Tamandua tetradactyla: one gene and its partners. The protein of the gene in region 1 purifies or fractionates together with the protein of each later gene. This does not show direct contact. Links are inferred from orthologs where the notes say so. Each region holds a gene or a part of one and is shown on either strand. Other genes may lie near its edges.

What was found.
Region 2: the proteins of VSX1 (region 1) and USP12 purify together in Homo sapiens (affinity purification with mass spectrometry; 3 studies listed by BioGRID and IntAct, counting the BioPlex papers as one, with this or other methods). This does not show direct contact. The link is inferred for Tamandua tetradactyla from reciprocal best matches to the Homo sapiens genes VSX1 and USP12.
Region 3: the proteins of VSX1 (region 1) and WDR20 purify together in Homo sapiens (affinity purification with mass spectrometry; 3 studies listed by BioGRID and IntAct, with this or other methods). This does not show direct contact. The link is inferred for Tamandua tetradactyla from reciprocal best matches to the Homo sapiens genes VSX1 and WDR20.

What each region holds. Positions count from the first base shown.
Region 1 is NC_135327.1:35,045,150-35,053,116, forward strand, and holds the start of VSX1 (visual system homeobox 1), read left to right. Parts: upstream 1-4,952; 5' UTR 4,953-5,039; coding exon 5,040-5,466; intron 5,467-7,581; coding exon 7,582-7,660; intron 7,661-7,967. UniProt on the Homo sapiens protein: Binds to the 37-bp core of the locus control region (LCR) of the red/green visual pigment gene cluster. May regulate the activity of the LCR and the cone opsin genes at earlier stages of development. Dispensable in early retinal development.
Region 2 is NC_135330.1:192,409,163-192,416,152, reverse strand, and holds the start of USP12 (ubiquitin carboxyl-terminal hydrolase 12), read left to right. Parts: upstream 1-3,976; 5' UTR 3,977-4,064; coding exon 4,065-4,112; intron 4,113-4,207; exon of another isoform or gene 4,208-4,279; intron 4,280-5,179; exon of another isoform or gene 5,180-6,990. UniProt on the Homo sapiens protein: Deubiquitinating enzyme that plays various roles in the regulation of the immune response and inflammation.
Region 3 is NC_135338.1:63,627,592-63,635,429, forward strand, and holds the start of WDR20 (WD repeat-containing protein 20), read left to right. Parts: upstream 1-4,824; 5' UTR 4,825-4,886; coding exon 4,887-5,135; intron 5,136-7,838. UniProt on the Homo sapiens protein: Regulator of deubiquitinating complexes. Activates deubiquitinating activity of complexes containing USP12. Anchors at the base of the ubiquitin-contacting loop of USP12 and remotely modulates the catalytic center of the enzyme.

The DNA of each region.
Region 1 (7,967 bases):
TGAACTTGACTGCCTCTCCTTGAGTCTTTGTCCATGTAGGAACTAGGGTCCTGAATGGTTCGGGAGCAGGGCACAAAGCATCCATCACCCTGTGTTTGCTTGGGGCCTCCTCTTTAGGGTACCTCCATGAACCCTGTACTTGTTTGGATACTGAGTAGTCCCAGTCTGAAAAATAAGTTCCACTCTGGCAAATGAGGCATTGACCAGACCCAAGGTGTGGCAGTGGGAGGGGAGAGGGAGCCTGCTTCGAGGGAGACACAGGGTGGCAGTGACCAGGAGTCAGGCTTTTGACTGATACAGCGCAGGTCCAAGCCCTGGCTCTGCCCTTGCTAGTGGGGTGACTGTAGACAATTTGTTGCCCTCTTGGCGTCTCTGTTTCACTATCTGTAAGATGGGGACGATGATGTCATCCACCCTTGGAACTTTGACCAAGATAGAATGTGGTCCTATAAGAGGTGTGTTACTTTAGTTACGGTTAGTGAGTAACTGGAGGTAAACTTGGGGGGAGGTTAGTCGAGGTTGATGCTCAGGCTTCCGTTCGGGTCAACAGGGGGCCAAGAAGCCATGGGGAATGGGGGCTTGGGGGATGATGCTGCCTCAGCTCTGGATGGGCTGTGTCTCTGTGCTCCTGGCAGACTGCACAGAGGTTCAGGAGCCATTGGATATGTGGGCCTGGGGTTCAGGAGCCAGTCCTGCTGGGAGGCAGATTGGAGAGTTCCGGGCAATTGTGCATGGGATTTCAGGTGAGGGAGAGAGAACAAAGTCTACCAGGAGCCCTTGAATCGCAAGTGCTTTAGTTTGCATTTCTCAGGTGATATAATTGTATAGAGAAAGCCCAAGGGACCCCTCAGAGCCAAGGGAAGAAAAAAAAAAGAAAAGAAAAAAGCCCTTCTAAGTTTTTTCTTTCTCTTTTTCTTTTGAAATTTGAAATCCCCACCAAAGCAATGACCCTGATAGCCAATCAAACCTCTGGCTCATTACATTTGACCTATACAAAATAAAGTCCACCTGCCCTAAACTCACCTCTATATGCCAGACAAACCCTGCTCGGATCCGTAGAAGTCAAGCTAACTTCCTTCTTATGTCTATAAAAATCGTTGGCTATCCCTAGAACCCAAAGCTAATCCTGTTCTGGCTTCCTTTTCCACAGCAGAACTTTGGTGTCTGGAATAAAATGCTGCAGTCTTCAAACTCCCCTCCCATTTGTCTTTCACACCAGAAACAGTCTCTCAGCCAAACGTTTTGGGGCAAGTTATTTATCTGGGAGGTGACTTCCAGAAACACTATCAGGATGGAAAGTGCCTGAAGCCGGGGATCCTTAGAGGCCAAGCTGGCAAGGTGAGTCTCCAAGTGGCACAGGAGAGTTACGGGGTAAGGGGTTAAGGAGTTGAGAGGCAAAGAAGGAGGGGAAGGAGCTGAGAGGGATGGGCTCTTAGGTCAAGTCACATCTTGGCCTGACCTGTGAGGGGTGGAGGTTTGAAGCAGAAATGGCTCTGCAGAATTATCCCCTTTCCAAGTCAAGGCATAGCCTTTTGTACCTAGAGTTGGGCAATCAAATACTGTCTGCAAGTTCAGTGGGAGGGGGATGGGGTGGGGGTGCCGGCTGTAACTTCCTCGTTGAGGGGCTTTTGCCAGCAGAGGGCTATTTTCCCCAATAGGGGGCAGAGGTGAGCTGTTAGCAGCCGCGTCCACACCCGGGATGATGCTGGAAGGGGGTCTGGGTGCGGAAAGGGCAGCATCCAGGAAAGGAGCAACACGGGATGTGAAGGCTAAAAGTTTACTAGCGTGGATAACTGCAGCTCGATCCTGCAGGGGCCCACTCCCAAGAGATAGCCGCCCAGGCTGCTGGAGCTGGGAAATTTTACACTCTTAACTCCGGTAGGTTTTCCTAGGGGCCGTTCATTTTTGACTCCTTTGCTTGGAGGTCAAAAGCCGACTGGAAACTAGAGGAAGCCCTCAGACGACCTCCTCTGCTGGGGGTTGGTGCGCGGCAGCGCCTGGAGTCTGTGGGGTGTGGACAGGAAGCCCAGGAAGCAGGGAAGGAGCAGCCAGAAGGCTCAGAGGAAAATCAGGCGCACAATGAAGTCACCTGATTCCTCTGTGCGCGCGCTCCCATGGTGAGACGTTTAACCCGAGTGTGCTCATCCACAGAAGGCGGACTTGCCGAGCATCAAGGCCAGCTCTGAAAACCCCAAGGGGGATCGATCTCTCTGTGGATCCCCCCACTTTCCCCCCACCCCCGGCCTTGTCTCAACTGGGAGGCGCGGGTGGTCCTGGCAGTGGAGGGCACACTGGCGCCTGGCATTAGGGAGCCCTGCCCTGGAAAATAAGGAGCAGAGACGCTTTTACTGATTAGTTAAATCCAGGATAATCCCGGCTGATGAAGACCCATTCGGACCCCTTAACGGATTCAGGGTTCCAAAACGACTCCGGGGGCTGGTCCAGGGCGGGGCGGGGCGGGAACGCTCCGGAGGGCTCAGCCTCTGGCAGCGGATTTGTTTGTGCGTGTGGGGGCAGGGGTCTGGGAGAAGGTCATCCTCTACCCCGCCAGAGCGCAGAGGCATCTCCTTTCCAGGTCTCTTAAACCCACCAGAAGCGACTAGACGCGCTCCCCGCTCCTTGACCCATGCTGAGCGAAGCCCTTCGCCCTCCTGGCTCCAGCCGCTGCGCCCCCACACCCCGGTGCCAGGGCTCTGAGCCCATCCGGTCCCACGCGCTAGTCGAGTTTTGATTCCGGGCAGCGACCTGGATTAGCGCGAAGCGGGGCGGGGAGGCAGTGAAAGTGTCCTCGGGTGCTCCGCCACGACGCTGCCAAAGTGGAGGCACCCTGGGGTTCAACACGCCTCTTCCCTGCGGGTGGAACCGGTGGAGGCGTTAGGAACGCTCTGGTCCAGGGTTCCCCTTAGAGCCCCGGCGTGACAGGATTTATAAGCCTTAGATACTCTCATCAGTAAGATGAGATTTTAAACTCCCTCCTCCTCCAAGGGGTTGGAGACCTAGGCCCACGTGATCAGTCGGCTTGGGGGGCCCGAGGTTGCGCCCCGGAATCTCTGGGCCCTGACACATCTACTTGGGGTCTGTCTTTTCTCGGTGATCTCCTGCTTCCACTAGTAAAAGTTTGGGGGAGGGAAACCCCAACATCCCTGCCTGGGCGAAACGTCGCGGACGGCACGTCCAGGTTGCTAGCAACTTGTGCTTGTTCCCGCGCGCAGGCGGGCGACCTCCTACACCCTCCCTGCGCGGATGACCTCGCTCGGACCCTTTAGGGCCGACTGTTCCACCTGCCCATTCCGGACGCGGACGAAATGTGTGAGATCTAGCTCTGTCCCTTGATTGAGATCCTAAATCTGGATTTACAAACGAGTTAAGAACGCTGCCTGGCGAAAAGCCAGAACACCTCCGCTGGGGCCTGTGCCTCAATGTCTTCCCCTGAACCCAGAGATAAACCTTGGGGAGAAATTCCTGGCTGAGCCCAAAAGGATTGGGTGTCTAAAGCAGCCCACCAGCCTGGGCGAATCAAATGACAGTTATTCCAAAAGAAAGTTATTGTTTTGCTAATCCGGGGAACAGCTTGTGAGGGGAGATTTGGGTCTTCCTTTAATAATGGAAAGTTAATGCACAGTCTCTCGTAATTATCTTTATCAGAAGCCCCTTGTATAATCTGCATGCTTAGCTGCAGAGGACCCAATCCAAGGCGCAGTGAGAGTTCCACTTTACGTGCCCAGGCGAGAGCTGTGCGCCCGTGAGCCGCGCCGCCTCATCGAGGCTCTGACAGTTGTCCCTTTCCTCGCTGGGTCACTTCGGACTGTCAGGCCCCCGAGAATGGACTGCAGAGGGAAGGATAGGCTCGGGGGGAGGTGGGTGGAATGGACAGCGAGGAAGGCAGAAGACAAGAAACAAAAATAAACGAACAAACAACAACAGCAAAAAATGAGACTAAATTTAGACCCATTGTCTCTACCAGCGGTCTCAAATTCCGGTGGGTGAGCTAGGCGTGGCTTGACCACGTGTTTTGTTTGGCCCACAGAGTCTCCTAAAAATAGCTAAAATTTTAACAAATACCGGTATTTCACAGGGTGATCAGGCTGTTGATAGTCATAAACCCTGACAGTTTATTAGCCCGGGCACCGAGGGCTGCACCCCTGTAGACAGGCCCTATTTTTCAGCCCCGCCCCGCTTCCCACCTTTAGGGTTGTTCTATAAATACTGGCTCACATGTATACCAAAAATTCACTGTTTATATGAAATTCAAATTTAACCGGGCCTCTTCTATTTTTATTTGCTTTGAAATCTGACAACCCTATCCTCATTGTCTTAGCCTTTCACCCCGTCCCCTTCCAGCTTGTCACCTGCCTCTGGTCTTTGCCCTTTTCCCACTCCGTCGGAGATTTTTGACACCCCGCAGCTGGGCCGCTAGAGTGCTGGGGACAAGGAGAGGGATCTGGCTAGAGGGCAGAGTGGCAGTGGACTAAATAAACGTTTTCACCTTTTTTTTTCCCCCCCTTAGGGATCCCCTGGGAAGGCCTCTTTGGCTCCTACGGAGGAGTCGGAGCGTCCAGCGGCAGTGGTGGAGGTGTGGCTGGAAATTGGGGTTCTAGGCATTAGTGGGCTCCTAGGCAGGGCAGGAGCCCTTCAGGGCAGGTGGGAGGGACATCCACCTGCAAAGTCGGGGAGCGAAGGGAAGACCACTCCCTCCGGGGTCTGAAACCCGCGGCTTTTAGAGCGACCGGCAGACAAGCGGGCTTGTTGTCCCCTCCCTCCTTCCCTTGCCCAGCTGGAGAGGAGAGGGGAAAAGGAGGGGGACTGAGGGGACTGCAGCTGGGAGGGCGGTGACCTAGGGGAGGGGAACCGGTGGCGTCCTCATCTTGTGAGGTCCGAACCACGGACGCGCCCGCGCCCGACGCTCCCGCGCCCAGCTGATTGGCGCTCTCGCGCCTTCCGCGCCCGACGGAAGGTCCAAATGTATAAAGGGTCTTCTGAGCTGGGCCCCCAGCGCAGAGAGGACCCGGAGGGGGTCGCGCTTCGCCGGCTGAGAAGACATGACCGGCCGAGACGCGCTTTCCGACGGGCGCGCCAAGAGCACTGTGCTGGTACCCGGTAGCGCCCGTCCCGGCCCGCGCCCGCGGGGCTTCGCCATCACCGACTTGCTGGGTCTGGAAGCCGAGCTGCCGGCACCGGTCGGCCCGGGGCCGGGATTGGGCTGCGAGGGCCCGGCCACGCCCTGCCCGGACACTGGGCTCGGCGGCCCCTGCCTGGCACGCGGTACCCTTCCGTTGGGGCTCAGCTTCCTCTGCGGCTTCGGCGCACAGCCGTCCGCGGCCGCCGGGGCTTCTTGCCTGCTCCTGGCCGACGTGCCGTTCCAGCCGCCCGGGGGCCCAGAGCCAGCCGCCCCGCAGACCCCCGGCCGCTCGCGCCCACCGGCCCTGCTCGACCGTGAGGAGCGCAGCGAGAGCGTCTCGGCGTCCGGTAATCAGTCCCCTCGTCCTGCACCTCACCCTGTTTCCCTGGGCTTTGGGCAGTGCTAGGGTAACACACTGTCTCCTCCCTACGCCCTCACCCCCAGCATCTCGATTCAAGGAAAGGCGGGACTCCAGAGCAGGGTCCCCTGGCGAAGGAAGAGTATCCACGCAACCTCGACCAGTCCACGCCCCATCGTCTCCTGCCCAGATGCCATCTTTCCCGGGATCTGGCCCCGGCTGTGCTGCATGCACCACCACCACTGGGTTCCGGGCCTACCTTGGGGGTCCCTGAACCCATCAACCAGCTCCTTTCCCGAGAGTCCCGGCGCGAATTTAGGCCTTCAGGAATAGCGTGGGTCGAGAAAGCGGAGGGCTGTCTTGTTCACCAACAGAACAGCACCTGGTACCCAGTGGGCACTCAAATGTTTGCTGAATTGATTGAATCATTGACCAGTCCTTGGCGAGCGCGCTTGCCAGAAGTCCTGGAGCTGTCCGTTCACGGCGTGCTGAAAACAGGGTTCTGGGTTTTTCCTTTCCTCAAACCCCCTACACATAGGAAGGAAAGCTACCCGGCGGGTTTCGTTGTACTTATGCATGGCGTTTTGTTCGCAACTCATCTATTGCCACAAAGAATTTGCCACGGGGAAGGAGAGGGAAGCAGTGGTATTCTATAAAGGACAAGGGCCAAGAAATGGAGAGGTGTGGGGTACGGGGGAAGAAAAGGGAGAATTATATAAGAAAACGTGGTCTGAGGGAAACTATGTCATAGAACCTAGAGCTGAGCATCCAGGCAACCAAGGCAAAAAGGGTACATTGGTTCTCTCTGACAATGAAAGAAAACAAGCCAGGTCAGCAATTGGGTGAGGATTTGCCCAGAAATGAGTTCTAACAGGAATCCGTTCATAAGTCTATATGTAAGATAATACGAAATTCCCTTTTAGTTGCGTCACTAAAAAGGCAGAATCTACTTTCACAGTATCCATTCTTTTTTCTAAGAGAGCTGATAAAAGGCAAAAGGCAGCTAAATCCTAGTCTGTTGGGCATTTTTGGAAGAGTGGCATCATCCAATAGAACATGTGAGCCAGTTGTGTAATGAAAATTTTTCATGGCCACATTAAAAAATAAAAAGAAGTGGGTGGAAAAGATCTTAATACCATATTTTATTTGACCCAATACGTCCAAAATATTATCATTTTTCATGCGATCAACATAGATTTATTAATGAGATGTTCTACCTTTTCTTTTTGTAAGTCTTTTAAATCCACTCAGTATTTTATATCTATAGCAGGTCTCACTTTGGACTAGCCACATTTTAAGTGCTCAATAGCCATGCAAATGGCTGCCAAATTGGGCAGTGCAAACATTAAGTATGCTAATCCAAGCATACAGGTTTTTTTTGTGAGCTAATTGATATAGGAGCAAAACTGATATTTGCCTTTCTTCATTAAATTGTTAATATGTTGAAGACATTATGCCTTATAACAATGAATGGCAATACCTGTCTCACTTTCCTTTCCTTCTACATCTTTTGATATGACAGATTTAAAAAGATAAAGCCTAGTGGAGTGGTTATTAAATTTTAGATTGCATATGAATTCTCTGGGCATATTTGTCAAAAATGAGTTTCTAAATTTGTAGGGCAGAGCAAGGGGGTGAGTTTCTGACTAAGATTCTGATGATACAAACCTCAGCCTTCCCTATGAGAAAGCCTGGTGTTGGGGCGGAGGTAAGGAAGGTGGAGGCAGAGGGAAGTGGATGAATTGGAAGCTGTTTGGGGGAAAGAGAATGTAATTGGTGACCAAGTAGCTTTGTCATTTGTGATGTGAATCCCAGCTTCACCATTTGTGTGACCTGTGTGATCTTGGGCAAGTTACTTAACCTCTCTGTGTCTTGGTTTCTTCATCTGTAAAAATAGGATAATAATATCCCATTTGTAGTTTCTTTATTTGATGAAGAATAATTGAGATAATTGCCTGGACAATGCTAAGCATTGTTTGATGCTTTAATTGTTCCATGTTTATATTCCTGGACAGGCTCACAGCTCCAACCCCTTGATTCAAATCTGGAAAATAACATGAAAAAATACACTCAGCTTTAAAGTCCTCTCTTTGTGTCCCAACAGATGAAGACAGCTTGTCAGAAGGCAAGAGTGACCTGAAAGTGTCCACCACCCCAGGCAAGCGGAAAAAGCGGCGGCACAGGTAATGTGCTGACCGTCCTCTCCATCCCATCCACTGCTGTCTTGGGACCCAGCCCCCAGTACTGTGGGACCAGCATCTGGGAATTGATGATCCTGGATCATGACAGCCCAGAGGCCTCCTAGTGGGAATGAGAAGGGCAGAGGGGCACGTGAGAACATAATTATGCAATTTCAAGTAGGCTGCTGGACAATCTCCATGGCATTTCTAAATTTTATTTTGGTGCCTGGTTCAGGAATTGAACCCAGGTCTCCTGCATGAAAGACGAGCATTATACCACTGAACCACCCATGCACCTCAATCTTTATGG
Region 2 (6,990 bases), on another chromosome or scaffold:
TATCCCACTCCTTCTCTACACAGAAGAAAAGAGTGGGTGGCGCAAGCAGTTGGAAAGGAGTCCCCTTCTCCAGCCAAGCTCAGCCACTTTTGAACAGGATCAAAACAGTTGAAATGATTGTGTTATCCTCACCAGCGTGTTGTTAGTCTCCTCTAGTGGGACCCACATTAACGAGGACCCAAGTACACAGAGAAAGTATTCTGGCTTACTTTATACTCAGCAGGAAGCAGGCTGTCTCCTATTGCAGACCTGTTATTATTTTGATGTCTCCTTGAAATTTGCTTATTCTTGGAAATTTGCTCATTCTCCTTGAAATCTGCAGGACTGGGATTCCATATGGACTGTCGTGTGGAGCAGGTTTTAAGGTAGGCTGATTCTGCCACTTATTATGGATGGGTATGACGGCAGAAGTCCCAGAGAGGGTCACTGTGGGTTGGATTGTCCCCTGGACATTTCGTACTCTTCTCCACAAACCCCCTGCAACACGCCCCATAGATACCTTCCACAGGTTTCGGGGCTTTCCCTCTGCCTAGAAAACCACCAGCCTTCCCCATCCCTCCCCATTGCTCAACCTAATCTTCTAGATTGTGAAGCACCCCCCACCCCCAGCTCACCCCTCCTGGGGGAAGAGCTGAACACACTCTCTTGGAGCTGATACCACTTGGTCCTTCATTCTCTCATCTCGTTTACCGTAATAGTCATCTGCCTATGCCAATGGACTTTGTGCTTCCTGAGGGCAGAGACTTCTCTAATGCACTATTAGATGATCAATAAATGTTTATTGTAAATTATGAGCACACATTTCAGTTTTTTTAAAAACATTTTTTTTGTGTGAAATATAACATATATAAAAAAACAATAAATGTCAAAGTACATTGTAACAAGTAATGATAGAACAGATTTCAGACTTTGGTATGGGTTACTGTACCACAATTTTAGGTTTTTCCTTCTATGTGCTCCAAGACTTTGGAGACTAAAATATCGATAAAATAATTCAGCAGTCATACTCATCTGTTAAATGCTATCTTCTCTGTTATAATTCCTCCTTCTCCTTTGATCTTTCTCCCAATCTTTAGGGGTATTTGGACTATGCCCATTCTAACGTTTTCATGTTGGAAAGGGTTGTCGACAATATGGGATAGGGGGATGGAATTAGTTGATGTTCTAGAGAGGCTGGGCCCCCTGCGTTTCAAGACTTATCTGTCCTAGGAACCCATCTGGAGGTTGTAGGTTTCTGGAAAGTAATCCTAGTGCATGGAACTTTTGTAGAATCTCAGAAAGAGCCATAGGGGTTCTTTAGGGTTGGTAGGGATGGTGTTGGTTGGGGTTTGGCAAACTATGGCAGTTAGCAGTATCTAGCTGACACTTGCATAATAGTAGCCTCCAGAATAGCCTCTTGACTCTATTTAAAGAATATCATCTAATTTCTAAACCTCTGAGAGTAAATTGTAAACATCATACCCCACAACTACCCTACTCAATACTTTCATGTATATTTCCTAAGAAGAAGTATAGACCATCACTGGGATTTTTTTTTTTTTTTTTTTTGGACATCCTCTGCTTGGAGACCTGGGAGTATTAATCAATACCACTAGGAAAGGTCAATTCATTCCCTGTCTAGAGGCAGGGTAGAGGAGGGGAGACACCTGGATTTTAGATCCAGGGCAAATGGGTGTGGAGAGGGCAGGAGTGCATAAAGGTTTTCAAATGAAAAACTTTGAAATAAAAGCACTGACCAAACAGATTAAGGTTGGCCTTGGTTTGTTCACTTACTTGACCCAGGAGGTATTTGGGGGGTATTTTAATGCTTGTACATTCAGGCAGGCCCAGAAATGGTACAATGAGGCTCTTGGTGAAGCTCAGACAGTTGCAGGTAAAACGTGTTCCACACCCAGTATACTCCTTGCATGCTCTGGGTGCAAGAGTGTGGGGTTCCAGGCAAGTCTTATCCCCAGCTGCATCACACATAATGGAAAATGCTCAGGCACAGCACCAGGCAAAGAAAGGGCTCTCTTCTTATATTTGAGTCTTTCTACTCAGCCTTAAGCTGGGGCGACAAGACATGTTTGTCCTGTCTGTGAATTCAGATGGCTCTCTACTGGACACGACTCCACATGATGCCATCAGAAATCCATTAAGTAGGCCTCGCTATCCTATAAATGTATGCATAGAGCTGGATTGAGTGGCCTCTGTTCCTGTCACGTTGTAGGTTTCAAGGACAAGGAGGCATGGTGGTGGGCGACATCGAAGGAGGAGGAGGTCAAATTCTGGCACATTCGATCTGCTCACTGGGACAAAACAGCAGGTGGAAGGACAGGATGTATAACAGACATTTTACCAAGATGGACAGGGCCCAGCGGCGTGGAAGACGAGGCCCAGGCAGGCCCCTAGGGTCTACGATGTGATGACTCTTGTCCAAACAGTGAGTAGCATAAAGCAAGAAAGAAACCAAGTGGGCGCTGCTTGCGAGTCTAGGCAGGGAAGCTACACACCTGTAAGTATGACCATAAGAAATGGACCTAGCTGCTGGCTTGGTGTCAGGGCAGACAGCCAGGGCCACGGCTTCCATGGAGAACCAGGCTGGCTACTATGGGACATGGCTATATTCAAGCTAATTTCCCCTACACAAGCTTATAATGGGAATCACTATGGAAACAGCACTCATGTAACAGAAATTTATTTCTCACCTACGTTGTGTGTGAATGCTATGTTTTGGTTTGAAATGCTTTTAGCCTATGAGGTGAGGCATACCAGATATTAGAGCTTTGTCTGAATTCCCCCCAGCCCGGCTGAAATGGAAGTTCCCCATCACCACGGATTGCCACTTGAAAAGTACCACAACCTTTCTAATACAATAATTTATAAAGTTCTCACTCGAAGTACTTTCTCATAAAGGAAGACACACAGCTGAGCTGTCTGACTTGAAGCACAGGTGCGACGGTAAATTTTATAAAAATAGTGAAGAGGAAATATCCCACCAGCTAACTGCTGCTTTAGGGCATCTCTCACTCGTGGGATCTAACTTCTGGTTTGGTCGCATCATCTCACTGCTGGGTTGAGGTCTTTCCTTTTATACAGGCCCTGTTGTCTAGTGTAAATATATTTAGATACTGTATTTATAAACACATTTTAAAGGCCAGCCGACAGGCAGAAAGCCAGGGTCCCTTATTACTCATCTTTTCTCTTTCTCTCTGTATTTTTCTTTGCCTTTCATTTTTATTAATTTACTAAAGTTACAGTACTTTCATCCAGATAATTATTCAATAATAAAATAAAACACCCCACAAAAAACCAAATCCCTTGCATTTTGGTATGTGCATGGGATGCTGTATTACTCGGGTTGTCTTGAAAGAAGGGGGTCTCCTCTCACCCCACCCGGAATGGTCGGATCATCGCCTCCGGTTTCGGCAGTGGTGGCTAGCTGGCTTGAGCCCTGGGGACAGGGCTGCGGGTCATGCCCCTTCAGGGTTGACCCTGGTCGCCCCCCGCTCACCCAGCCGCGCCGCGCCGCGCGCACCCCTTGCTGCCACTCTTCTCGGACCGCTGATGGCGGTCTCTAGGACCACGCGGGAAGCGGGGACAGGAGGCGGTGCCCGCCGCCACCCCGTCCCCAGCCGCGCGCGGAGTGAGGCGGACCCGGGAGTCCCGGCTCTAACGCTCTGGGACGGGGGAGGTGGGGCCTCGGCGGGGGGCGGGGCGCGCGCGGGGCGGGCCGGGAGGGAGCGCGGGCCGCGCGGCTGTGGACCGCCGGGCATTAGGGCCGGGGCGGAGCCCGCTCGCCGGGCGCGCAGGGTGGGGTGTGCGGCGGCGGCTTCTCGGGCAGGCGTGGGCCCCGAGGCAGCGGCTGCGCCCTGCGCGGGTGAGAAGCCGGGGCCGGAGGCCGAGGCCGGGAGAGCCCGAGCGCCTGCGGCGGCGGCGGCGGCCCTTCGGCGGCAGAGAGGGCTCGGTCCGGGGGCGCGCGGCGACGGCTCGGGCCCGCCGGGCCTGCGGCGAGAGCGAGCGGCCGGGCTCCCTCCTCCCGCGCCCGCCGCCGCTGTGATTGGGTGGAAGATGGCGCTGGGCGAATGGAAATCCTAATGACAGTCTCCAAATTCGCCTCCATCTGTACCATGGTAGGTGCGGCGCGCGGCGCGGGGGCGGCCCGCGGGGCCTAGTGGCGGGGGTGGCGCGGCCCCGCGGGGCTGTTGGCCCGCGCGGGGCCGGGGGGCTCGCGGCCTCGAGCCGGGGAGAGGAGGGCGCCGGGCGTTGCCGGGGGGCCGAGGCGAGCCGGCCGAGGCGGGTGGGCGGCTGCGGGCTTTCGCCCCCGGCTGGCGTGCGGGAGTCGGGCGGGGACCGGGCGGGAGTCTGGTGGGAGGCGGGTGGGGGGCGCGGGCCCGGGCGGGGGTCGGCGGGGGGACGCGGCGCCAACGGCTCGGTCTCCATTTTAGAGTGGCCGCGCGCGGAGCGGGAACTGTCCCCGGGGCGGGGGGGGCTCCGCCGGCAGGAAGGAGGGTCTCGCGGGGACGGGCAGAGGCTCGGAGTCCTGCCGGGGCGGCGGACGGAAGCCTAGTGCCCACTTCCTCGCCGGGCGGAGTCCTCCGACCCGGCTCTTGGGGGGCAGGGGGTGTGTGAAGGTGGAAACTTTAAATAAGTGCTGCGGACATCTTTGGATTTTCCACTCAGTGTGAGAGCGATGAGCTCTCACGCTCCCAGCCATGTGTCCAGGTGGCGGGCTTGTCCCCTGGAATCCACGCCAATCGTGAAAAGCAGGGTTCGCTTTCCTGTCATTTGTTTAATACACCAGACACATCTGTGTGTGTGTGGCTTGAAGTATTTCTGTGCAGAGACGTCACCGCAAGCGTATTGTATTTGTTTTGTTAGGGCTTTCAGATAGGCTTTAAGGGAGAACCGCTAATGTCCGTTTTAAGTCCCTAATTAAGCAAAAATGTGGGTGTGTTTAAAACTTGGCGTTTTTATGTTTGGCCACCAGGACTACGGTTTCCACATAATGGGACAGAATTTGTGTGATGAGCTCCTTATGAGTTACATCTAGGGATCATAATTCTGAGTCATCCCCGAAAGAAGTTAATTCTTTGTAAAGTGGGCCTAAAGTGGTTATATTATTGAAAATTTCTGAAATCTTTCCTTCTGTTTCAAGTCTCACTAGCCTTTTTTTTTTTATGTGCCTCATTGCATATAGGAAATCCCCAAGCAATCTTCGGATCCAAGGGTGGTTAGTTTTATATATCTTGCTTTAAGGAGTGGAGAATGGGATCGGGAAAAATCTTTAAAAGAAGATTCTAGATTTACTGCACGCTGAGAAACAGTTTTTAAAAATGACTGAAATTAGGTGGACTTAAAATCAACAGAATTAAAGAAATCGTATTGAAGGATGAATCATTGAAGAGTCCATTTACCTAAACGGATGTTTGTATTCTCTCACAATGCACATTTTAGAAAAGCGTTGATATTAAAGAGACTATGTTAAAACAATTTTTGCAGATCTCTTGGGCTAATTATTTTTAGATATGCCAAATGTTATCTTAGTTTCAAAAGGAAGGTGATAATTAAGTCTTTTAAAGTGATAACCTTGCTGTATTGCTGAGCTACACACTTTGTCGGGTCATAGTTCATTGTTAAGGTCTAGGGTTTTGGGAACAGAGGGTGTGTTACTTTATACTGACTAGTCTTCATTCAGTCAAATACAGAATATATTGGGCACCTCCTAAGGGTTAGGCATTGTGCTGAGTGGGTGGGCTACGGCAGCCATAAAGCCCAAGTCCCTGCTTTCCTGGTGCTTATATTCCAGTTCAGGGAGACCAACAGTCTTCAGGTGATCATATTAAAGTAATATATGCTGTAATAAGATTAGGAAAAGGAGGCACAGGGATTTGCCAGCGTCCTGCAGTAAGTGGTATTCTCATCTCTGGAATGTCAGACACTAAAGTGCTTTCTAGGGCTTCCGCCCAGGTCCATTAATTGGAGTGGTGTGTGTGTGTGTGTGTGTTGTTGGCAGATACAGAGACATCTGTTCATGGCCAAATGAGATTGTTCCAAAGTAGTATTGCAGTTGGGTGGGTCTGTATTCGTATCTGATGTGCTCCCGAAATAAAGTGCTAAGTATCTTGAAATAATCTGCAGTCATATTCTTAGTCTACAGAAAACTGCAGTCAATCTTCTGAAAAATACAGCATTGACAGTTGAGATGAGTAAGGATATTTTTCTCTTTTCTTCCCTGTCCTAGTCTGGCTGGGTCCTCGTCTCTTAAGCAGGTGTCCTTGCCCAGCCCCACTCTCTAGCCCCCTCTTACATAATTTCAGAGCATTTTTGTAATCTCAGTAACACTTATCATACTTACTGGTTGTATGTATTTCTTGTCTCCCTGTTAGATTGTGGGACCTGAGGCCAAGGATTATCATTTATTTCTCTCTCCTCAGTATCCAGGCCACTTTGATCTAGAGCACTAACCTCTGCGTACAATAAAAAAAGTTTCCCAGAGTGCATCCTTTCTCCCACCCAAACCTGGGGAAAGGGAGTTTGGTTAAGCACCGGAGAGATGGTGGTGATGGGGGCCAATGTGGAGCCCCTGGGAGGCGAAGGGCTGAACCTAAGGAGGGCACTTCTTGGAAAATTAGCAGCTGTGAAAATAGTAGGATGAATTGGAATTTTATTCTATAAATACCAAAGTATATGTAATTTCTTCTTGGGCAAAGCTGTAATACTGAAATTGGGTTAACTCTGTTAGAAGAAATCTCAGTTATGCCTTATTCTAGGTCACTGTTCTGCATTTACACGTGGACATGAGGCACCTTTGTTTTTCTGAAGTTAGTACTATATAGCTTGATCTAAAGGAATGATTTTTATTTTGATTGCAGTGAATTTGCAAAAGTACCTTTAGAAATGTCTTTTTTTTTAGATTTGTCCACGAAATAATCCATTTGCAGCATCACGTGGTGTTCATTTTGCCTCTGAGGCAGCTTCTGATTTCAGGGTCTGGCATGGAGCGGCCAC
Region 3 (7,838 bases), on another chromosome or scaffold:
TAAATTTATTTTAACATTTGATCCCCCTATTATTTATTTTTATTCCATATATTCTACTCATCTGTTGAAAAGGAGCATCAGACACAAGGTTTTCACAATCACACAGTCACATTGTGAAAGCTGTATCATTATTCAGTCACCATCAAGAAACATGGCTACTGGAACACAGCTCTACATTTTCAGGCAGTTCCCTCCAGCCTCTCCACTACATCTTGAATAACAAGGTGATATCTACTTAATGTGTAAGAGTAACCTCCAGGATAACCTCTCGACTCTGTTTGGAATCTCTCAGCCATTGACACGTAGTCTCATTTCACTCTTCCCCTTTTTGGTTGAGAAGGTTTTCTCAATTCCTTGATGCTGAGTCTCAGCTCATTCTAGGATTTCTGTCCCATGTTGCCAGGAAGGCCCACACCCCCGGGAGTCATGTCTCACGCAGAGGGGGAGGGTAGTGAGATTGCTTGTTGTGTTGGCTGGAGAGAGAGGCCACATCTAAGCAACAAAAGAGGGGGACCAAAGTTTTAAATACCATCTATGTGCTGATGACTGTCAAATATACATCGGCCACTCAGATCTCTCTCCAGACTTGATCATTCAACTGCCTCCTGGCCATTTTCTCTGAATGCCTAATAGACATCCATACCAACATTTTCAAAGTTGAACTCCTGATCCTCCTTTCAAAACTTGCTCCTTTCCAGACTCCCCCCTCTCGATTAGTGATATCTTCATCCTCCAATTGCCTATGCCTACCATGGAGTCGTTCTTGACTCCTCCATTTCTCTTACAAGCCACATCCAATCTGCTGGAAAATCTTACTGGTTTTACTTTCTGAATTTATCAAGGATTTTCTTAAACTCTCAATCTCAATTGCTACCATACCTATCCAAACCACCATCAATTACCTTTGGCCTGGATCATTGCAGTTAGTCTCTTACTAGGCTAGAGGCCAGCCTCAAAGACCTTGCTATTCCTTGAACATTCTTGGCACTCTCCTGCCTTGGAGGCTTTTGCTTGATCTGCTCTTTTCCCAGCTCTTCCCAAGGCCCATTCCTTTGCCTCTTTCAGGTCTTTGGTGAAGGGTTACAGTTTCAGTGAGGCTTATTTTGACCACCATATTTAAAATTGCAAACTACTCAGCACACTCCTAATGCCCCTTACACTGCTCTACTTCTTTTTCCTAGCACTAACCTATATATTTATATTTACTATATATATATATATTTATTTATTTATATATTCCTCAGTCTCCTGTTATCCCCTGCAAGAACAATCTCCATAAGTAAAGGAATTTTTTTATTTATTGATGCATCCCAAAGGCTAGAACATTGTAGCATATTGGAGGCTCTTAAATAAATGTTTGAGGATATGAAAAATTTTAACAAGGTTTCTCTTATCCTTGAGTGTGCTCACAATCTGGCTGATAGGTTGGGTATATGCATTCAAAGACAAATATCAACATAATATATTAGCATATGCTAATAAACACCAAAAGAACATTAGAATGGTAGTCAGCATATTATATAATTGACAATCAAAAACTCAGAGAAATGTCATAGAAATTTAGCCCGGTGATTCTTAACTTTAGGGCGAGATTTTTAACTCTGAAAATCCGATGAAAGCTATACTCTGTTGATTAAGTGAACATATACATATAATTTTGAATACAATTAAAGGTTTAAAACACTTCCTGGAAACAGCCATGGATCCTGAATTGAGAATCCTTGGTTTAAAGTACAGTATATTATATCACCAAGAAGACTTTGGGAAAGGTTTGGTGAGGATGGGCCATAAACTAGTTCTCGAAGAACAGCCTATGAAGAAGTGAAATAGTTAAGAGTGACAGCTTTTAGCTGTTTACAGATTGACAGTAATGAGGATTTATGTGGTAAATAAGGGGTAGGCTGAGATTGCGGGTGGATACTTAAATCCTGTGGATACTGCCAAGTCACTGAAAGTTTTTGGACTTTGTTTAAAGCAGTGTTTTAAGAAAAAGCAGTGCTTTTAAAAATTAATTTCATAGTTGTTTATAGGAGGAAAACTGAAACTAAGGAAATAATTCAGGAAACCATTAGATTCAAGTTTGAGGAAATGGAAAGGGAACTGATAAGATTTACAGACTGATCAGTTTGAGGCACAAATTCATTTAGAAATGCCTGGTTTGTAAATGAAATTCAGAACTATATAACTACATTAGGCCTAGTTATACTGAATCCTTGGGAGTTGGGAAAAGAAAATATAAGAGAGAAGTACTCAGATTATTCAAATGCTTCAATTGGGGGAGGATGGTATAAGAGTAGTTCAGTTGCAGAATTCTTGCCTGCCATGCAGAAGACCCATGCTCAATTCCCAGCTGTGCACTATCCCCCTCTCCAAAAAAAAAATCAACAAATGGTGCTGTAATAACAGGACAGTCACATGGAAAAATAACGAAATGTCACCCCCACCATACAGCATTAAAAAAAAAAATTCCAGATAGGACAACATATTAATATTATTTGAATTTATATGCTGAATAAAACAGTAATAGAATGCTTAAGGTCTATAGGTCTTTTATGTAATTGAATGTTCTGGTTAATCTAAGGCTAATAAAAAATTTGCGTTCAAGCTGCTGCTTGCTGAGTCGTCCCCCCCCCCCCCCCCCCCCCGTTCTAGTTTGCTAGCTGCTGGAATACATTTACCAGAAACAGAACGGCTTTTAAAAAGGGGAATTTAATTAGTAGCTAATGTCCCAATTAAAACAAGTCTATAGAAATGTCCAATCTAAGGCATCCAGGGAAAGATACCTTGTTCAAAAAGGCCGATGAAGTTCAGGGTTTCTCTCTCAAGTGGAAGGGCACATGGCAAGCACAGTCAGAGCTCTCTCTCATCTGGAAAGGCACATGGTGAACAGGGTCAGGGTTCCTCTCTCATCTGGAAGGACACATGGTAAACACAGCTTCATCTGCTAGCTTCTTCTCTCCTGGCTTCCGGTTTCATGAAGCTCCCCGGGAGGCATTTTCCTTTTTCATCTCCAAAGGTTGCTGGATCGTGGACTCTCTGCTTCGTGGTGCTGCAGCATTCTCTGCTCTCTCCGAATCTCTTTCATTCTCCAAAATGTTTCCTCTTTTATAGGACTCCAGAAAATTATCAAGATCCGCCCAAATGGGTGGAGACATGTCATCACCCAATCCAGTTTAACAACCACTCTTGATTAAATCACATCTCCAGGGAGATGATCTGATTACAGTTTCAAACATACAGTATTGAATAGGGATTATTCTGCCTTTATGAAATGGGATTTAGATTAAAACATCCGTTCAAACCAGCACACCCCCCAAAAGCATTGTTATACTTTTAATATATATACCTTTTTCCTTCTCTTGATAACTAGGGAATACAGGTGAATTGGTTATACATGACTGAGGATGTCACTAGTTCTTCAAGGTGATCATTAAAAATACAAAATTTTGATGTAAAACACAATTATAGCAGATTGGGTTAAATCCATGGTATCATAGAACATACCCTGGTATTTTAAAAGATTTCTGATATCTATTTGACTTTTAGAGAAAGGCAGATGCCATGAAAACAACTGTAACAAAATTTTTTACATATTTTAGGGATTTATTAAGTAAATAGATTTTAGTCTAGTGCTTTTTTGCCAACATGCTCAAAGGTGCAGGATGTTAGTGTCAAATTCATTATGAGATCATTGGCAGTTTTTACTTTTCACTTGTTTTGTAATACATAAGATATTTATGATTTAGGCACCCTCACTTTAGAATTTACCTTCCTCAGTTTCTTTTGTGACCCTCTAGCTAGGATTTGAACTTGAAGAAACAGTTCATTCTTGGTGTAATCAATGTTGGCTTTTTTCCTCCAGGAATTATATCAGATTATTTCTGTCACTTAGAACCTTTCTTATTCTACTGCAACATTCCAAGAAATCCAGGTATAAAATGGTGATTGTTTAACCTTAATTTAACACCCATGCAAGTTCCTGCATAACTAGATCTAGTTTATGCATACAACTATACCTATGGATCTCCTAGTATTTTCACTTAAGGCCTTAAAAATAATTCAGTGACTTCTTTTTTTAATTAAGAGCTCTTAATCAACTATTGAGCATAAGTGAATCCTGCAAAGATTCAGCCTCTGGTGCCCAAAGCCATTTCCCGCCCCCCAGTTTTCTCTGAACAACTACTGGTGAAGACAAACTTCAGTTAAGAACCAGAAACGCCAACACGAACTATTCTCCTTAAAATTAGCCACTGCTCACTGCAGAAAGGAATTCAATGCTTGACCTGCAAACACCTATGCCATATGTATTTATACCCCACCCCACCCTCCCAAAAAGATGGTGAAGCATGAAGCTCTAGTCCTTCGGTACCTTCTAGGACCGACTCTAGGAGGTGCCCAGACCTCGGGATAGACATGCGGGTCCGGCTCAGCCCCCCGCGGGCTGGACCGTCCCCGGGCAGCCGAGGGCGGGTCCAGGAGGGGCGCAGCAGCGCCCTCCCAGCGTTGGGGCCCCCTCACGCCAACGCCGGCCGCAGCTGAGGAGGCTCCCCCAAGTTCACCTCAGTACTCCTGACCCCACCCCGGTCGCTGCTTCCCCTTGACGGCTCTCTCCGAACGCAGAGGAGCTCTTTGCGGGTCAGCGGATCGAAACCGTCCCCCACCTGAGTCTTCGCGCACAGCGCGCCAGGTGAGCACGCCTGCGCAGTCGGGTGGTAAGCAAGACCACCCCTTTCCTTCCGCGCGGCTCCGCGGGGCTGCTCGCGGGTGGGAGGGGCTAGACGGAAGAGGCGGGGGGTGGGGGGTGGGGAAGAGCGAGAGCCAGGGACGGCGCCTGCGCGGTGGGCGTGATCCGGGCACTTAGGGCAGGATGAACGCTGCTTTCCAAGATGGCGACGGAGGGAGGAGGGAAGGAGATGAACGAGATTAAGACTCAATTCACCACCCGGGAAGGTCTGTACAAGCTGCTGCCGCACTCGGAGTACAGCCGCCCCAACCGGGTGCCCTTCAACTCGCAGGGATCCAATCCTGTCCGCGTCTCCTTCGTAAACCTCAACGACCAGTCTGGCAACGGCGACCGCCTCTGCTTCAATGTGGGCCGGGAGCTCTACTTCTATATCTACAAGGGGGTCCGCAAGGTACCGACCCGGGCGTCGCCGGGGCTCGCCTGCGGCGTGGGCAGAGGCCGGGAACAAGGCAGTGACAGCGGGGGCCAGGGTGACCGACAGGGGTAGCCTTCGCTCTTACTTTTGAGTGGGCCGGTAACTCCACTGGGGTGTTTCTGAGGAAAGGGGATTCATGAGTAAGGAGGGTAGTGATGGTAGCGTTTCGAAGGGTTCGGGGAGGTGGATAGCGTCCGTGGGATGTGGGGTTCCGGCTGGGAGGCCTCAGAGGAAAGAGCTGCCTCCCTCCAGCAGGTCAGTCAGGCTCTGACATGGCCAGTGAGCGGCCTGCGAGTCCCCGGAAGAGGTAGGGTGGCCGTCTTATTAGCCCAGACCATCTCGCCTGCCCGGAGGTCTGGGAGTCTTGCTCTGGTTTAGGGAACGGGCTCCGGGCTGCTTAGGAAGCTCTGTAAGGCGGAGTTGGGATTGGGAACCGGAGACTGAGACTAGGTCAGAAAGGACCTGCTCGGCACGAAGGGCTACTCCACCTGCTGCCGCACTGACACTTCCTCAGAGCCTCTCCTTGTGGTTTTAACACATCTATTTCCAAAAACATCTGATGGAGGAGGCTGTCATTGTCTCCTCCGAGGAAGCCTTTTTCTGAGAGATTATTAAAGAGGATTATTTTACAGTTGGGAGATCGAAATGATGTTTCCAACCAAGTAAACTGGTTCACAGGGGTTCTGTGTGAGCGTGCTCAGATTAATCTTGTCCAACAAGTCAGACTATGTCCCAAACAGGGAGGGATATGGCTTAAAAGCTACTTGACAGGAACTACCCTTCTTGGCGGGTAATTTAACAGTAATTCTGTGAAGCATGTAACCATCCTTTAAAATATCTCTTTAAAAGCAGCAGTTCATTAGAGCTAGTCCCCTCACCCCCCCCCCCCGCCCGCATTAGATATACAACTGTGTTCTCACTGAGAACTGCTTACTTTTGAGATTATGGTCTCCGATTTGACTCGGAAGAGTGAGGAAATTAATGCACTCCACAGTACCTCGGTTTGAGAAAAGGTGATACAAGATTAATTTACAAGTGTTCGGTTAGAATGAAAATATTTGGTGCATATTGAAGACTGAACATTCTTTAGGATTCAGTATTTCCAGATCCAGTACAGAATTTTTATTTGGTTATGAGAACTAGGGAAGTGACAATGTTAACTAAATGTATCAAGTTTTCTCGTTCTTTTCAAGGTGAATCTTCTTTGTTAGCGTTTGTCGTTTGTCATAATAAGTGTATTATTGTGTTTAGAGTATGCCATTGGTAGTTACAGGAAATAAATCATTTGACCTTTTTTCCCCTTTGGGAATTGGGAAGGGGGTGAAGTGTTTAGTAGTCTTGGAGATGAAATTTTAGTCTTAGTCCCTACTTTGTAACTGACTTATTGGACAAGTTATTTAACGTCTATCTTCTCCTTTTTGAAAGGAGCATGTGGAAGTGTATATGTTGTAATTGATAATATAATAATTGTGATGAACTTTAAAGCCCTGAAATACTTAGTAGATGCAAAATATAGTTAAAATAAGCATTTAGAGTAACTGTCAAACAGGAGGCTGCCATCTTGACATTCGCATTAGGCCTGTTTTCTTTGGAAATATGTTTAGATTTTAAGTTATTAAAATTTATTTATATAAAATTTATATTTATATGCAAAGTGCTTAAAAACTTAAATTCACTAGCAATAGCAATCACTAATATAGGCATTACCCTTTTAAAACATTTTCTTTTAAAACTTTATCTTTTTATATATATTTTTTGTTTTTGAGGCATTCTAATGGCAAGCCTTATGTGAATATTAGTCCTGGTTTGCATCATAAAACAGGGCTCTTGCCTGAAAGTATGGTTAGAACAGTGTTCTCTTTTAGTGGGACACTTTATTCCCTGAAGGGTAAAACTAAGAGCTTTTCAAAACAATATCCCCCCAGAAAAAGATCTTATGACAACTCCTAAGCATTTAAATTACCTTTACCTGCATAATTTATTTGAGCATTTTAACTTCATTTTTGTAAAATTTCATTTTCATGTGGCGTTGTCTTTTAAATATATTTGCAGTAAGTAGTGGACATTTCAGTTCTCTCCTAGGTGTTGTAATTTTGTTTTGTTTTTGTTTTCCATGAATGACTTTGCATTCAGTTATTTTTTAGTGTAAATGATTGTTTTTGTGATTTTCTTTTTATTTTCTGATTTTAAAACAGAGCAAATAACTTATCCTTAAAAAAAACAAGAGTTATTTTTTAGTGTTAGGAGTTGTAAATTTTGGGTTTTTTTTTTCATTAAAAAAAAAATTTTTATTAATAAAACCAATCAACATACAATATGAATATTCTTTTTTATCACATAGTTGTATATTCATCATCATGATCATTTCTTAGAACATTTGCATCAATTCAGAAAAAGAAATAAAAAGAAAACAGAAAAATATTCATACATACCATACCCCTTGCCCCTCCCTTTCATTGATCACTAGCATTTCAATCTACTAAATTTATTTTAACATTTGTTCTCCCTATTATTTATTTTTAATCTATGTTTTACTCATCTGTCAATAAAGTAGATAAAAGGAGCAACAGACACAAGGTTTTCACAATCACACAGTCACGTTGAGAAAGCTTTATCATACAGTCATCTTCAAGAAACATGGCTACTGGAACACGGCTCTATGTTTCCCTCCAGCCTCTT